Macaca mulatta: one gene and its partners. The protein of the gene in region 4 purifies or fractionates together with the protein of the main gene of each other region. This does not show direct contact. Links are inferred from orthologs where the notes say so. Each region holds a gene or a part of one and is shown on either strand. Other genes may lie near its edges. The genes, in order: MAGED2, H2AX, NAP1L5 and NAP1L1.

Region 1 (4,371 bases), on a different chromosome or scaffold from region 4:
GCGCTTGATGGGAATCTTCGTCTGGTCTTTAGCCAAAAGGTACTTCACCAAATCATTTGCCTGGCAGAGTAGAAAAAGATGGAAAGACCAAAACAAGTTTGCTGAAAACTTGAGACGATGGCAAAGAAAAGGGCAGCCAAGGCAGTAGAAAAGGCAGAGTAAAAAGGACAGAGTTCTTACCCTCCCTTGCAAAAGGGCCACATCCCGAGGTGGTGGTGCTTCAGGCTCTTGGGATGACTGGAGCTTGGCAGCTCTACGGCGAGCCTTGCCCCTACGGGCTTTAGGTGATCTCAGGGAGAGCAAGGCTCTCCGGGCCCAAGCAGCCAACCGAGTCCTTGATGCCCTGCGGGCCCAAAAAGCTATGGGACCCCTTGAAGCCCTGCGGGCCATTGAGGCCATTAGGGCCTTTGAGACCCTTCGGCCACCTGTGGTTCCAGAAGCCTGACTCTGATCACTGCTGCCATCCTCTTCCCCATCCAGATGCTTCACCTGCATCAACAGAAGCTCAACATCACCAGATGAAACAGGTGGTCCTTTTCCTCTCCCTATCTCTTCCAGGAAGCACCCGCCAATCCCGTCCCTGTAGTAACAGCCTGACTTAATAGATGTTGGCTATGCTGAACCCTGGGTTTGTTTCTCACTGACTTCCAAGCAAGTGTTTCATCTGCCTAGCAAGCCAGGAGCAAACCAAGGGTGGGTGGAGGCTGAGTCTTCTTCTCTTTCTGTGCCCACTACTGGCTCTGCTTGAACCATCCCTAGAAAAACTGCTTCACCTCTCTGGAACTCAGCTTCCTTCTCTATAAAATTGGGGCTATGAGAATTACTTTCAGGATTTAATGAGATAACCTGCATAAATGTGCTTAGCTCAAGGCCTAACACAGGGCAGCTACTATGTAAATATAAACTGCATTATATTCAGATTGCAGCTATGTGTATTCCTGTCTCATCTCCCCATCAGTCTGCAAGCTCTCTGAAGACAAGAATTACATCACATTACTTTCAGTGCCCCCCACAGCCCTGATGAGCACAGGGATCTTTCTAAATGTTTGTAGAACAAATGAACCAACTGAGAGGAGAGGAGTAGAAAACGAAGGGTGGTGACTGCAGAGGTCTTACCTTTCGGGCTTTCTTGGCTTTGACCTTGGGCCGAGTATCCTGATTCTCCTGAGACTGGGCAGCTGCACTCTCAGGCTCAGGTTCATCTGCTGGGGCCTGAGAGGCAGCAGCCTCAGTCTCCTGGGCCTTAGTATTGACCTTCGTATCAGCCACACAGCTGACCTTTTTGGTCTCGGTGGCAGGCATTGTCACAGCCTGCGGGTCAGCATTCTGTTTCTTGGTGTCAGCTGCTAGACTCTTGTTTTCAGCTGCCAGAACCTGGGTATCAGTCAGCTGAGTAGTAGATGAGGCCTGGGTGGCAGGTGCCTCCTGAGCCTCTGGGGTCTTTGAGACCTCTGTGGCCTTTGGGACCCCAGAGGTTTTTGAGACCTTCACATCCTCTGAGACCTCCGGTGCCTTTGAGGCCTTCGGTGTCTCTGGGACCTCCACATTCTGGGTCACTGTCAATAGAGTCTGCATCATCGAGCTACTGTCCTTTTCTGAAGCTTCAGCCTGCAAGAGGAAGCAGGGAAGTTCACAGACCTTCTCCCCACCCCCAACTAAGCAAATGGTTCCAAAATTCCAAGGCCACACTTCTCTGACCTGTACTCGTACCTGCGGTGTGCTCTGACCACCTCAGCCGAACAAGGCCTCCCTTTCCTCTGAGCAAGAACTGAAGGCAGAAGAGGGGCCCGCCCACCTTCTCTCCCTCCCTCCACTGGGCAGGGGGACACCCAGGCAGGAAAGTAGGTGGAGAAGGACAAGGATGGGAGGGGAAGAGCCAAGGGACTTAGGGCAGCAACAAGGGCTGGAGAGGAAAAGCAGCTGGGGAAAGGACAGAAAGAGGCCTTACCTGGAAGCTAGTTAGACCCGCACCACTCTCGCTTGTGTCAGACATGTCTCAATTTGGCCTGGCAAGAGCTGAGCCTGAAGAGGAGAAGGCCTGGGTCAAGTTGAAGCCCACTGAACGTCCTCTCCCCTGTTGTGCCTGGAGGCTGATCCTTACCTTCCGTAGGTCCCCAATTCCAACCCCCTCCACCACCCACAACGACTCCGTTCTCAGATACAGGAATCCAAAGCTTCTAAGTCTCAATTGTCTGCAGCCGCACCCTCCCCTTCTCCAGGAAGATGTGCCAGCGCGGCAGCTCTGAGGACCCCGCCCCTTTTCCCAGTGCACCCCCCACCCAGCCGCAGGTCGATAGAGCGCATGCGCGTCGGCTGCAGGGCCGTTCTCAGCCCCGCCCGCTTTCCCAGCACGAGCCCTTTCTTTGATGTCCACCGTGCACATGCGCATTCAGCAGCTGGCTCGTCTCAGCGCTGGCCCTTCTCAACACGCCCCTTTCAGCGATACATAGTGCGCATGCGCAATGATCGTGGTCTCAGTCTGGCACTCTGCCCCGACACACGCCCCTCTCCAGGTCCGCAGTACCATTCGGTCCCGCCCCCTGCCCAAGAAGCCTTCCTCCAAAATTGTCGCAGTGTCTGGTGGGCCCGGCCCCTCCCCTACTCACGCCCTACCGAGTCCAGTGTCTCTTGGCCCCGCCCTTCTTCCTAACACGCCCCCCTCCAAACAGGCGCATCTTGGTTCCGCCCCTTCCCTATTACACCCCCTCCTCAAATAAATATTGAGCTAGTGATTCCATCTTGGGCCCGGTCAAACCGGGTCCAGTCCCCTCCCTTCCCAGCCGGATGGATCCGGTACGATCCGATCCTCATGACAGGTTTTCTCCAGATCCCAGAGGGTGCGGCCGACCCCTAGCGGGGCTCTCATCCAAAAGCCCGCCCGGCTGCTCACCTCGTCCTCCTACAATTCCCGAGAGCGTCCACTCACTCCAAGCCCCTCCGAAACTCAGAGACTGCCCTCCCTTCTCTAGGCCGGAAGTGGTCCCGCCCCTTTCCGCCTCCCTAGGGGGCCTCCGTCCCAGCCTGTCTGCCCCTCCCCCGCTCCCTGCTCCTCATTCCTTATGCCCCCCTCCGTATTCCCTTAGCCTGGCTCCTTACTCCCTATTCCCACCTCACATTTTCTATTTACTCCAGAATTCCCTCTTCCCATTCCTTACATCCTCCTCCGTGTTACGATTGCACACCCTGCCCCTCAGTATTCCTTAACCCCTCTCTGCATCCCCATTCTCTTCTCTGGATCACTCCCCCTTAGTGTTCCCCTCCCTCCTTGTATTCCTCGTCCCCCTCCCAACATTCCTGGTTCCCCGTTTTTCTCCCCTCCTCCTCCGCTCGTCTCTGCTCCCAGTCTATACAGCCTACCACTTTCTCAGTCGTCCTCATTGCCTACACACCACTCCAGGTCACCTCTGCTTCAGCTGCAGTGGTGCAGTAAGAATTGCTCATCTGCCTGGCTATGGGTTCGAGGGGTCTGGAACCACTCTATGACCTCCATAAAACCCCAATCTCAACGCACCTCACCTTGTCCTCCAGCGAGTTCGGGATGCGTCTGCCTTCTCTAAGTCCCTCTCGAAGTCTCAGCCTCCTGGACTAGAGCTGCAGACAGCCCAACCCAGCCCAGCCCCTTTCCGCAGCCCCCTGCCACCCCCCCTCGCCTTCCTCGGGGGTGGGGCAATGGGGCCCTGCTCAGGGCTGTCTGACGCCAAAGCCCATGTTTATGCCACTGTACCAGGCTCAGTCTGAAACTCTTCCAACCCAAACCGCCTCCGAAAGAAAGTCATTCATTGAATTTATTTTTATATCTTCATTTTTTCTTATTACAAAGGTAATATGTTGTTGTTTTGTTGTTGTTGTTGTAAAAATTAAAACAATGCAGTAATATATAACATACCAATGAAAGGCCACTCTTATCTCCCAGAAATAACCACTATTAACATTTTGCTATCCAGATTTTTTTTCTATTCGTATACTAATTATTCAGGTTCTCTCTCCGACAAATGGTACACTATACATACCTTCTGTTCTGCGACCTGTTTTTTTCCAGTTATATATAAAAAATCTTTCCGTTAGTGCACATTTTTCTAAACAGTTGCATGATCTTTTCTTGTATAGATGTCCCATAATTTATTGAACCAGTCCAGTACACATGTACATTTAGATTGTTTGGGGCACTTTTTTTTTATTTAGGGTATTTTTTGCTAGCTCAAATGCTACAAAAACGTCTTCCATTTTGATAACAAAAGATACAAAATTTGTCAACTTACTCCTAAAAAGTACATGGAATAACGTTCCCACCAGCAATGTCTCTCGTGTACGTGTCACATATTACAAATATTTTTCATGTTATTTATGATAATTTTTGCCAAACAAAAATGT
Region 2 (3,726 bases), on a different chromosome or scaffold from region 4:
GCTGACCTCTCTCTGGTCCCAGACTGCCTCCTTGCCCAGGCCTCTCTCACTCTTCATACTCTTCCAGATTTTGTTCTCAGCATTTTCTTTTCCCTGTGATCACTGGCATCCTGGGCGTTTCTTGCCCCCTACTGTCTACTGATTGGATTTTACTTATGACTTTCTGCAACTTGCTACTCTCCCTCTCCATCCTGTCTTTGCAGCCTCACAGGGTGGGATACAGAAGTTTTTTTTTTGCAGTTATCCACAGTCACATTTCAGAGTCCTGACTCTCAAGGAACTACTGGTTTTTGGGATAGAACTTGGGCCAGGGCTAGGGACACAGGCTCCACAGTGACCTGTTATTTGATTGTAAATTAAGTGTTCTGATTAGTAAGAAGTAAGCAGGGGGCCACATGCTCTCAATGGAGACAATAAAGTGTTGTCTATTTCTTATTGTTCCTGTAGGTATATTTCCTATATGGGCATTTTTGGGTGGATTGGGAGGGTAGGTGGGGGTACTTCCTCCAACAGGATGCCTATCTCTCTGCCCCACCAGACCCCGTCTAACAAGAAGTGAACAGAACTGAGACCAAACAGAACATATTGAATAAACATTTAAATCCTGATACTTCAGGTGGCATGGAGGGCCACAAAATTGAAGTTATCCTGTTTCCTGGCATGGGGTCAAACTTTCAAAGACACCAGGTACAGTGGCTCATGCCTGTAATCCCAGCACTTTAGGAGGCCGAGGCAGGAGGATTGCCTGAGCTCAGGAATTCAAGACAGCCTGGGCAACAAAACGAGACTCCGTCTCTACAAAAATAAATAATTAGCCCACTGTAGTGGAGCATTTGTAGTACCATCTACTCGGGAGGTTAAGCAGGAAGGATCCCTTGAGCCCAGGAGTCCGAGGCTTGCAGTGAGCTGAGATCACACCACTGCACTCCAGCCTGGGTGACAGCAAGCAAGACCTGGTCTATTAAAAACAAGAAAGAAAAGAAAGAAAGAAAAAGAAAACTTTAAGGGGTCTAATTTCTTCCCTTTTCCATTCTCCCTTTGTCAGGTAGGAGAAGGGAGTGTGGAGTGACCGGACCTGGAAAGGGTAGCTATAGTATTGACCCCTTTCCTTTAAACATCCTACGCCAGCACAGATTTCCCAGACGCTCTCTAGGTGGCCTCAGACTCCACCCCTTTTGTCTTCCGGTTCTGCCTTCCGACTGTAGTGTTTAAATCTCGCGCGCTTTACAAGGATTGGCTACATAAGCGGGTGTTTGGCCGTCTGCGTGCTACCCCGCCTCCTCGCCTTTTCTCCCCGGGCAAAAGGTTTTCAAATTCGACCAATCAGCGCGCGCTCCCTCAGCCGAGGCGCGACACCCAAGGGTTAACCGCAACCAACCGGAGGCGGGTATTGGAGAAAAGAGCCAATCAGGAGGGCGCAGAGGTGTGTCCTGGGGGCTTATAAAGGCGGCCTCACGGCGCGCGCGCGACAGCAGTTACACTGCGGCGGGCTTCTGTTGGGGTGTCTCTGAACCGTTGTACTTCACCGGTCTACCTCGCTAGCATGTCGGGCCGCGGCAAGACTGGCGGCAAGGCCCGCGCCAAGGCCAAGTCGCGCTCGTCGCGCGCCGGCCTCCAGTTCCCAGTGGGCCGTGTACACCGGCTGCTGCGGAAGGGCCACTACGCCGAGCGCGTTGGCGCCGGCGCGCCCGTGTACCTGGCGGCAGTGCTGGAGTACCTCACCGCTGAGATCCTGGAGCTGGCGGGCAATGCGGCCCGCGACAACAAGAAGACGCGAATCATCCCCCGCCACCTGCAGCTGGCCATCCGCAACGACGAGGAGCTCAACAAGCTGCTGGGCGGCGTGACGATCGCCCAGGGAGGCGTCCTGCCCAACATCCAGGCCGTGCTGTTGCCCAAGAAGACCAGCGCCACCGTGGGGCCGAAGGCGCCCTCGGGCGGCAAGAAGGCCACCCAGGCCTCCCAGGAGTACTAAGAGGGCCCGCGCCGCGGCCGGCCGCCAGGCCTCCCCATGCCACCACAAAGGCCCTTTTAAGGGCCACCACCGCCCTCATGGAAAGAGCTGAGCCACTTCAGACTGCGGGGCAAGCGGGCCGCGGCTCCCGGCTCCTTTCCCCTCCCATCGCCCGCCTTTGCCGCCCGGCCTCGAGTCCCCGCCCGCCCCCCTCCTGGCCTGCACCGCCTGCCGCGTCGGCCTCGGGCCCTGCCCCATCCGCCGGCCGCCCTCCGGTAGGGCTCGGGCCCTCTGGACGCGGCTTGGGCACTCTTCGGGGACCACCGTGGCGCGGAGGACCCGAGCCTGCCGGGGGGAGGCCGGCGGCGCCGCACCTGCTCGCCTCGGCGCTCGTGACTCAGCCAGCTGCCCCATCCTGAGTCGCTGAGGGGCTGCGGGGAGGCCGCAGCACCTTCTGGAAGACTTGGCCTTCCGCTCTGACGCAGGGCCGAGGTGGGCAGTCCAGGCCGAGAGGCCGGCGGCCCTGAAGGTGAGTGAGGCCCTCGGCAGCTGCAGCCAGGGTGTCCGGCACTCCCCCGGCGTGGTGCTTAGCCCAGGACTTTCAGACGTGGCCGCTGGCCTGGAGGCTTTGGTGGGAGAGACACGATCGCTGGTTTCGGTCTGGCGCCCCCTCTGCGGCCGGGACCCAGGCCTTTCACATCAGATCTCCCTCCATCTTCATTCATAGGTCTGCGCTGGGGCCGGGACGAAGCACTTGGTAACAGGCACATCTTCCTCCCGAGTGACTGCCTCCTACGAGGACATTTAGGGGAGGGCAGAGGCCTGCAGTTTGGCTTCACGGCTGGCTATGTGGACAGCAAGAGTCGTTTTCGCGGAAGCCGACTGGCAGCCAAGCCTGTCGGGCCTCCCCATTTCCCTTCCAGCAAACTCAACTCGGCAATCCAAGCACCTAGATACCAGCACAAGTCGGTTAATCCCTGTCTGGACTGAGCCTCCGTTGGCTTCCGAACTGGAATTTTGCAGCTAACCCTTCCAAGACTAGAACCTTAGGCATTGGGGAGTTTTAGATGAACTAATTTTATTAAAGGATTGTTTTTCTAAAAATGGAGCATTTGTTTTCATTTTGCAAGAGAGTTGTAGGATTAGTGACTTTCTATACTTTCCTGATAGTGGGGGTGGGAGGGGCATGCAATATAAATAGGCTCTACTGTTAACCGAAGAAGGAGCAAACCATAGGAATTTAAGATTATGGCTCTGTTTCTTGGTGTTCCTGCGAGACAATTTATTCTGTGTGAAATGAAAACTATTGAGGCAGAAGCAGAAAGGATGTACCAGGAGAACTTTGGGCAAAAGTCCCAGCCTCCGAGGTAAGGATGAAAGGGCTTTGTGTTTGTTCATATCTTCCCGCCAACCCCCCCCCACACACACACACAAAAACACCTTCAGAGCTGGTTTATTAGTAGAGTTGGTTACATTCAAAGGCTGTGGCTTGGACTTCTCTAAAGAGATGAAGCCCCCACATACTGAGGAGGCAAGGCAGTCATCAAGGCCCCAAACTGAGGCAAATCCCCGGAAGGCTTGAACCCTGCAGTTCAGTCTTCTGAGGTAATCACTCCCCAGACAGCAGTGAGAATGGGGCACTGAGGGCCGGGATGTAGGCACTGGACAGCAGCAACCGAGGCATCTGTGCCCCACAGACCAGTTAATGGGCATCGTTAAGCTGCCGTGCAACATCCAGGATGTTTTTGGCTCCTTTGCTCAGCAACAAGTTG
Region 3 (4,216 bases), on a different chromosome or scaffold from region 4:
GAAGGTAGGGAAGAAGACCATGGGGGAAGATGGAGAAGAAGAAGGTGGGAAAGAAGACAGGAAGAAGAAGGTGGGGGAAGGTGGGGAAGAAGATAGAGGGTGGGGAAGAAGACGGTGGGGCTGGGTGGGTGGGTGGGGAAGAAGACGGTGGGGCTGGGTGGGTGGGTGGGGAAGAAGACGGTGGGGCTGGGTGGGTGGGTGGGGAAGTAGACGGTGGGGCTGGGTGGGTGGGTGGGGAAGAAGACGGTGGGGCTGGGTGGGTGGGTGGGGAAGAAGACGGTGGGGCTGGGTGGGTGGGTGAGGTGGGGGTGGGTAGGTGGGAAGAGGGTGGGACTGGGGGAGGGGAAGAAGAGGGTGAGGTAGATGGGGAAGAAGAGGGTGAGGAAGATGGGGAAGAAGAGGGTGAAGAGGGTGGGGAAGAAAAGAGTGAGGAGAATGAGGAAAAAGGGCGCGGGTGGGGGGAAGGTGAGGAAGAAGGCAGTGAGTGGGGAAGAAGAGGGTGAGGAGGGTGGGGAAGAAGAGGGTGAGGAGGGTGAGAAAAAGGACAGTGGTGGAGGGGAGGTGAGAAAGAAGGCAGTGAGTGAAGAAGAGGAGGATGAGGAGGGTGAGGAAAAGGACAGTGCGGGGGCGGGGGAGGTGAGAAAGAAGGCAGTGAGTGGGGAAGAAGAGGGTGAGGAGGGTGGGGAAGAAGAGGGTGAGGAGGGTGGGGAAGAAGAGGGTGAAGGGGTGGGGAAAAGGACAGTGCGGGGAGGAGAGAAGGTGAGGAAGAAGGCAGTGAGTGGGGAAGAAGGGGGGAAGAAGATGGGCAGAAGGTGGGGCATAACACAGTGCGGGGGAGGGGCAGGAGGGAGGGAGAAGATGGTGGCAAGGAAAGGTGTGAAAACAGATAATGGGGAAGGCAGGAAAGCAGATGGTGTTGGGGGAAGCCCGGGAAGACGAAAGTGAGCAGGGTGGGATAGATGGCACACGCTTTAACCAAGATAAGAGGGGGCCTTGGCCCTGGGCCCCATGATTTAGAGAGACTTGCTTTTTTTCAGCCCTCCTCAAGCTTTAGTACTTCCCACAGGCCAAAGATTCTGTAGAACCTTCTAGAACACACACCAGGACACTGGGAGCTCTGAGATTTCCTACCCAAATGACTCCAAAACTGCTTCCAGGGGTGTCCTGCTGAGAGACAACCTTGCCACCAGGGTATGTGTCGCCAGGTGTGTGGGATGGCCAAGGGGGTGTTGGGTAGACACACGGGTACAGAGCTTGGATATGCAAGCTGCCCTATCCACACATATGCTCCCCAGGTCCCCAAAAGGGTAGAATGGAGCCAGCTTGCCCGTTCCTCCACTGCCTGGAGAGGAATGTGGAGGAATCTAAGAGGTGATCAAATGCCAGCTATGGAGAGAGATGCAGAGGTAAGCGAAGACATATGTACTAGCATTTGTAGAAGGGCCTGGATGGCGGTGAGGAGCACAGGGAAAACGGGCTGAGGCCATCTACGCAGTTCCTGAAGCAGCACCTCGGGCAGCCACTGACACTCCCAGCCCAGCTCTACAGGGGGTGGGTACATGGGTGGGCTGGGAACAGGGTGTCTGTCCAACAGGCTGGTGTTGAGGGCCCAGGAGACGTCAGGGTAGCAACAGGAGGAATCTGGTGCAGTATGAGCGCACGGCCGTCAGCTGATAGTGGGGAGCCAGTCAAGTGCCGCAAAAGCAGGGGGCGGGGCCGCGGCCGACGTCATTCCCGCTGCCGCGCGTCACCGCCACTTGCCGCATCCGCAAGATCTCTCTGGACCAGCTCGGGTGCAGGGCCTCTGCGGGATCCCTCCTAGACCTCTGCGGCTTCTCCTCTAACATGGCCGACTCGGAAAACCAGGGGCCTGCGGAGCCTAGCCAGGCGGCGGCAGCGGCGGAGGCAGCGGCGGAGGAGGTAATGGCGGAAGGCGGTGCGCAGGGTGGAGACTGTGACAGCGCGGCTGGAGACCCTGACAGCGCGGCTGGTCAGATGGCTGAGGAGCCCCAGACCCCTGCAGAGAATGCCCCAAAGCCGAAAAATGACTTTATCGAGAGCCTGCCTAATTCGGTGAAATGCCGAGTCCTGGCCCTCAAAAAGCTGCAGAAGCGATGCGATAAGATAGAAGCCAAATTTGATAAGGAATTTCAGGCTCTGGAAAAAAAGTATAATGACATATATAAGCCCCTACTCGCCAAGATCCAAGAGCTCACCGGCGAGATGGAGGGGTGTGCATGGACCTTGGAGGGGGAGGAGGAGGAGGAAGAGGAGTACGAGGATGACGAGGAGGAGGGGGAAGAGGAGGAGGAGGAGGATGCTGCAGCAGAGGCTGCCGCGGGGGCCAAACATGACGATGCCCACGCCGAGATGCCTGATGACGCCAAGAAGTAAGGGGGGCAGAGATGGATGAAGAGAAAGCCCACGAAGAAAACAGCTTGGTTTTGTTTTTCCCAGAATATTGGTGGACTTAAAAAGGCTCAGGTTTTTGACCAAAATACAATGTGAATTTATTCTGACATTCCTAAAATAGATTAAATTGAAGCAATTAGATCCTGGCCAGCTCGATTCAAATTTTTCATTTTGAACATAATAAATATATCAAAAGGTGTTAAAGAAAACCGAATTAAACCCAAAATTATGTTTTCATGGTCTCTTCTATGAGGATTGAGGTTTACAAAGGGTGTTAGTAGATGCGAAGTAAAGAACGTCACTTTGAAACCCATTCATAACACAGCATACGCTACACATGGAATACCCAGGCCATGACTGAACACGTTTTCAGTGCTTAATTCTTAAATTTCTTTACTCATGACATTTCGCTGTGCAGAGAAGGCAGACCCCAAGAAAAACGTCATCTTTGAGACTTTGCTTTTGTAACGCAGACATCAGCTTTACACTTCACAGGAGATTGATGGCACTGAGGAAGACTGCAATGGAGATCATGACACTACTGTTAATAAGGCCAGGAAAACTGCCATTTCAAGTTCTGAAAAATGTTTGAGTATTTGAATTTAGAGAATAACATGGTTCCAAGAAGGAGGGTGTAAAACCTGTAAAATACTGTCAACATATGTATTCATTAGTTACAATCTCATGTTTGTGTTTTCTTAGTAGTGTCTATTTACAAAGACGTAAAAAATACCCCAAATATGTTTAAGTATTAAATCACTTTACCTAGTGTTTTAGAAATATTAATTTACTTGAAGAGATGTAGAATGTAGCAAATTCTGTAAAGCATGTGTATCCAGTGTTATGTACTTTGATCCTTGTGACGTCTTTCTGTCATGTAGCTTTTAGGGTGTAGCTGTGAAAATCATCAGAACTCTTCACTGAAGCTAATGTTTGGAAAAAATACATACTTGAAGAACCAATCCAAGTGTGTGCCCCTACCCCCAGCTCAGAAGTAGAAAGGATTTAAGTTTGCTTGTATTAGCTGTGCCTTCATTATTTTGCTATGTAAATGTGACATATTATAAAATGGTGCATAATCAAATTTTACTGCTTGAGGACAGACGCATACAGTAAGGATTTTTAGGAAGAATATATTTAATGTAAAGACTCTTAGCTTCTGTGTGGGTTTTGAATTATGTGTGAGCCAGTGATCTATAAAGAAACATAAGCTTAAAGATGTTTACCACTGTGGTGTTAATAAAACAGTATTTTCAAAAAAATAAATATAAAAGTCTCGGTACTCTGACTGCCTGTATTCAAATCCCAGCTCTGCCTCCTATTAGTAATGTACCTTAGGCAACTCAGCTAATACTCTCAGTGCTCAATTTCTCCTCATCTACAAAAGGGAATAGGAATAGTCCCTTCCTCATGGGTTACTATGAAGAGCAAATGGATTAATACATATAACGCCTATAGAATAGCATCCAAACCATGGTAAGCGCTGAATAATTCTTAGCTATTATTATTACATGAAAGATAAAGACAGTGATTGGAAATTCAATCCTCCTTCTCTCCTGTTACAAAATGGGAGAAATGGACATCACTACATCAATGCCTTCCCATGTTTCTGATTCCTTATTATGAGAGAAGAATGTGGCCTTTAATTCAGAAACACAGGAAATTAAATAAACTATCTTGTTTTGGTTTCCTCAACATAATATCAAGTTTTTATTATCTCCCAGAAAGGATAAAAGACTTCAATATAACATTAAAAATATACAAAAAAGGCTATTTCAACTTTGTTTGCTTCATTCTGAATGAA
Region 4 (4,486 bases):
CAGCAACTTAGAATCAACTCAGTTACCAGGAGCCAACAGGAGCAAGCTGAATAAAAAGAGATGGCACTTTGGATTACACTCGTCATGGTACAGGTATTCTTTTCAAAAATCTCATTAAAGGCCAAGTGCAGTAATTTACCATATTCGGTATTAGCTTTATAATTCTGCAAATCAATGGGCCTAATATGAAAATAGGTACTTTCTAGCAGATAAAATTTAGAAAAATATTCAAATCGGTGTACTGAAAACTTTTAAATTTCTATTTATTAATATAATGTTGACTTGGAAGGAGAATCTATGAAAGTCAGGTTTTATGATAGAAGATGTCCAAGTCCACCTACTAGGGTTTAGTTCCACATATTCTCCAAAGGATAGTATTCTTAGAACTAAACTATAGATTTAGGCCATTTATTTAAACTTGGGCAATTCGAACAAGCTTGAAACACAAGAGTGCCTTGAAAATAACTGTAAATGTCATTTATTTCCCTTTGATTTTTAAATGGTAACCCATACGTAAAAGGTTTTTCCCTTATTCAATCACAGGTCATGTGTATTACTTCCAAAGTAAATATTAATTTAAGTGAGTTAATTCCATTAACTCCAAAGTGAGTATTAATTTAAGCTGACCAAAAAAAGAGGACCCAGATACCCGTTTCCAAAGATGTTTTGAATCCACCTATTTTCAAAAGGCCAAATTTCATTTTACAGCTCTTCTGAAACCAGGGAAGCAGTGTGAATTTTTAATTGCAGCAGTGAGATACCTTAAAATGTTAGCAGTGATATTTTTAAAATGTAGTTGTTTCAGAACTGATCAGTGACCGTCTAAAATAGGGGCTCCTTGAGGACATCCTGTGCCTGGTTCATCCTTTTTGTACTCTCAAAGTCTAGCCTTCCAAGATAGGACCTCAGTCCCAGCCTCCCTACACCGCCATCCCCGAGATCTTTAGGGGAGTGGGGTTCATTGACAAGGTTGCAGGCTACAAACTTGGCTAAGTTTATACTAACACCTCATTCCATCCTACCTCCTATCTTAAAAAGGAAACAGTTTAAGTATCTTATTCTAGTGATTTAAATAAACGAACTAATTTATAAGAAAGCCAAGAACAATTAAAGTCACAAAGGGCCAAACTTTTTATTTTCATCTAAGAACCGTTTGCAGGGGTGGTCCGATCTTTTGGCTTCCCTGTGCCACATTAGAGCTGTCTTGGGCCACACGTAAAATACATTAACTAGTTGATGAGCTTTTTCAAAATAATAATAATAAAGCTTATGAATTTGTGTTGGGCCACATTTAAAGCCGTCCTGGGCCGCGGGTTGGACAAGCTTGGTTTAGGGGTTTAGATCGATTAGGGTCAATACTCCCCAAATAAAAAATCCTGATCAAGACACCCATCTAACTGTACCTGGGAAACACAACAACAACCTTTTGCTAATAACAGTTAACATAAGCGCTATATACGCGTTAACTTTTTAAAATACTAGCAGTGGAGGCCCTTCCTCATCAGCTAACATCCACAATCTCCGGTACCAATAAAAAGATTAAGACCAAAGAGAAGCAGGGAAGAGTTTGAAACCCAGGGACAGGGCTTACTAGCTTACTCTCCCTTTTCACGTTCCACGGTCTCTACAACTTTCAAAGTAAGGATAGCCCGAGGGCAAGGGTCTCCAACCAGGCCCAGCTGGTGGCCACGAAGCCCATTACCACGTGTGGAGGGAAGCCGCCGGGGGGTTTCCCCTCCCCGCGCGGCCGCCCCCAATGGGCGGAGAGCCAGGGAGCGTCGCAGTCTCCCCCGCCCCCTCCCCGCCTCGGGGCCTCGTCCCTCCACAGCCCCTCCCTCCCGTCGGAATTCGCAGCCTCCGCCGTTCTTTCATCTCCCAGCGGCCTCCCTCCTGGTATTATTTTTGGGGGAAAAGCAGGGGGGTGTCGAAAAGGCGGCCGGCTCTGCACTTGGCCCGGCCCGTACGCCGGGGGCCTCCCGGTCCCCGCGGCGCAGTCGACTCTCAGGGCACCCGGGCGTCACCGCGGCCTCGCTCCGGTACACGCGGAGAAGACGGTGGAGCTCAGAGAACCTCACGCCGCCAGGCCGCGCCAACCCCTAAGTCGCCTCAGCCGTCCCAGATAAAAGCGCTGGTCGGCCCTAGGGCCCCTCTCAGACTCCGGGGTCCAGACTCCGCGGTCCTGTCCGACCTCACAGGACGACCCCGGAGGCCCTGGGCGGCCAGCGGCCCCGACTCCCCGCTCCCAGTCCCTCTATCCCTCCGGCCCTCCCATCTGCGCAGGCCGCCCAGCGAAAACTACGTTCCCCCTTCCCTTCCAGGCCCCCATCCGTTACCGGCGGCTAGTATGGGGAGCCAGGCGGCCGGAGCTGCGCAGGCAGTGACTCAGGGCGGCAGCGGCGGCGGGAGGAGCAGGAGGCGGCGCCGCGAGCAGATGGCGCTAAAAAAGACCCAAGAGCCCGCCGCTCGCGCTCATATACAATTAGCGTCAGCACGTAGGGCCCTCTCGCCGCCCTCCCCCCGGCCTTGTAGTCTCCCAGCAACGCGAGCGAGAGGCGGGTCCAGGCCGGGTTGCCTAGCAACTGAACCGTCCTTCTTCCCCGGCGACCTCCATACCGCAGCCGAGGACTCCTGCAGACCCTAGGACTCCTGCAGCCCCGAGGCCCAGCGCCGCGCTTGGGCTCCTCTGGTTCCCGCCGGTGTCTAACCTTCTCTGTTAAGCACCCCACCATCTCTTTTCTCCCCGCTGAGCCGGAAAGGAAATCTCAACCCCATCAGTTGTGGGGAAGGCCTGGCCCGCGTGCCCGGCGCCCGGCCCGCTCCGCCCCCTTCGGCGTTGTGCTGGGAATGCTGAGGGCGGGCGCTAGTCGCCTGGTCCCTCTCTCGCCGCAGCCTAGACGGCGGGCGCTCCCTGTCAGGGCCTAATTCCTGCAACTCGCCGGCCCCCGGTAACTATTTTCCCTCCCCGTCTAAGAAAAACAGTTTTTTCCTCTAGACCACTTCGGCGGCCTCTTCTGCCTGTTTTGCTTCGAACTATGCCAGCGGGTCTCCGTGCCTTTAGGGGGTGCTCGTCATCCTTAGCTCCCCATCCCCCCGCCACATACTTGTACCTGATGTACAGTCCCTTCAGTTCTTTTGACGGATGAAAATGGCATATTTGTGCATTCTCTGGATGCGTTGTAATGAGGACATTCAGTATGTCTGTTGTTTCATCTTTCTGAAAAAGTAAATCGCATTAAATCCTCAGGCTTGTAAAACCTCATAACTAATTTTCAAGTGATGATGAATTGACTAACATTAACTCAAAAAGTTGTTCTCAGAATATGGTCTGAGGGTCCCCAGACCCTTTCAAAAGGAAGGTCAAAACTATTTCCATATTAATGTCAAGACTGTCTTTTGCATTCTCATTCTCTCACAAGTGTACAGTGGGGTTTTCCGGAGGCTATGTGACATGTGATAAGGAAACAGACTGAAAATAGAAGCAGATAGGAGAATCCAGTCATCTGCGGTTAAACCAGACGTTAAAGAGATTTGCAAAAACTCGATTTGGGGGCAAGAGGGAGTAGTTATTTTTCTTTTTTCTTTTTTTTTTTTTTTTTTTTTTTTTTTTTGAGAGGGAGTCTCGCTCTGTCGCCCAGGCTGGAGTGCAGTAGCACGATCACGGCTCGCTGCAAGCTCCGCCTCCTGGGTTCAAGCCATTCTCCTGCCTCAGCCTCCCAAGTAGCTGGGACTACAGGCACCCGCCACCACGCCTGGCTAATTTTTCGTATTTTTAGTAGAAACAGGGTTTCACCGTGTTAGCCACGATGGTCTCGCCTGACCTCGTGATCCGCCCGGCTCAGCCTCCCAAAGTGCTGAGATTACAGGTGTGAGCCACCTCACCGGGCCTATTTTTCATATAAAAAATTATTTTTGTTAATATTTGATTGCTTTATTGTTTTTAAATGAAATACTCTTAAAATTTCTCACTTTTAATTTCTGACATAAGTATCAGTATCAATAATGCACATAAAAGTTCTTTGGGGTCCTCAACTTTTAAAGGAGTGTAAAGGAATCCTAAGACTACAAAGTTTGAGAACCTGTTCTCTAAATCTTACATTTCTTGAAACTTCAAACTGCCTAGAATCCCCTGTTGTAATCCACACATTTAACAGCTGTATCTTCCATTTGAGGGGATACGATGTTTTCCTTGGCGCTCCAGAACCTCATTGAAATTAATTGCCTTTCCCACTCTACACTGCAGATGCCTCTGTTTATTCATTCATTTTAGTTTTTCATATACAATTCCTTTGTTGTTCTCAGAGCCTGTTCCTATACACCCTTCTCAACACTGATGTAATGCTAACAAGGAGCGTAATAGCATCAATAATGGATCTTCAGGAAGAACCCACTATACATAAACAATGTAGATCAGTGCTCAGTTTGAACATAAATTTGACACGTTAATTTCAATGAGAACTTCAGGAATGTTGCATTTTAATCAAAGCTT

Evidence for each region.
Region 1: the proteins of NAP1L1 (region 4) and MAGED2 purify together in Homo sapiens (affinity purification with mass spectrometry; 4 studies listed by BioGRID and IntAct, counting the BioPlex papers as one, with this or other methods). This does not show direct contact. The link is inferred for Macaca mulatta from reciprocal best matches to the Homo sapiens genes NAP1L1 and MAGED2.
Region 2: the proteins of NAP1L1 (region 4) and H2AX purify together in Homo sapiens (affinity purification with mass spectrometry; 3 studies listed by BioGRID and IntAct, counting the BioPlex papers as one, with this or other methods). This does not show direct contact. The link is inferred for Macaca mulatta from reciprocal best matches to the Homo sapiens genes NAP1L1 and H2AX.
Region 3: the proteins of NAP1L1 (region 4) and NAP1L5 purify together in Homo sapiens (affinity purification with mass spectrometry; 3 studies listed by BioGRID and IntAct, counting the BioPlex papers as one, with this or other methods). This does not show direct contact. The link is inferred for Macaca mulatta from reciprocal best matches to the Homo sapiens genes NAP1L1 and NAP1L5.

The regions. Positions count from the first base shown.
Region 1 is NC_133426.1:54,646,090-54,650,460, reverse strand, and holds the start of MAGED2 (melanoma-associated antigen D2), read right to left. Parts: upstream 2,963-4,371; 5' UTR 2,891-2,962; intron 2,245-2,890; exon of another isoform or gene 2,102-2,244; intron 2,023-2,101; 5' UTR 1,994-2,022; coding exon 1,949-1,993; intron 1,609-1,948; coding exon 1,117-1,608; intron 490-1,116; coding exon 181-489; intron 61-180; coding exon 1-60. UniProt on the Homo sapiens protein: Regulates the expression, localization to the plasma membrane and function of the sodium chloride cotransporters SLC12A1 and SLC12A3, two key components of salt reabsorption in the distal renal tubule.
Region 2 is NC_133419.1:119,778,533-119,782,258, reverse strand, and holds H2AX (histone H2A.x), read left to right. Parts: upstream 1-1,468; 5' UTR 1,469-1,543; coding exon 1,544-1,975; 3' UTR 1,976-3,058; downstream 3,059-3,726. Other genes in the region: HMBS (porphobilinogen deaminase), read right to left, coding at 3,657-3,726. UniProt on the Homo sapiens protein: Variant histone H2A which replaces conventional H2A in a subset of nucleosomes. Nucleosomes wrap and compact DNA into chromatin, limiting DNA accessibility to the cellular machineries which require DNA as a template.
Region 3 is NC_133410.1:98,015,015-98,019,230, reverse strand, and holds NAP1L5 (nucleosome assembly protein 1-like 5), read left to right. Parts: upstream 1-1,733; 5' UTR 1,734-1,845; coding exon 1,846-2,394; 3' UTR 2,395-3,678; downstream 3,679-4,216.
Region 4 is NC_133416.1:83,254,120-83,258,605, forward strand, and holds the start of NAP1L1 (nucleosome assembly protein 1-like 1), read right to left. Parts: upstream 3,051-4,486; 5' UTR 2,773-3,050; coding exon 2,706-2,772; exon of another isoform or gene 2,614-2,705; intron 2,447-2,613; exon of another isoform or gene 2,334-2,446; intron 1-2,333. UniProt on the Homo sapiens protein: Histone chaperone that plays a role in the nuclear import of H2A-H2B and nucleosome assembly.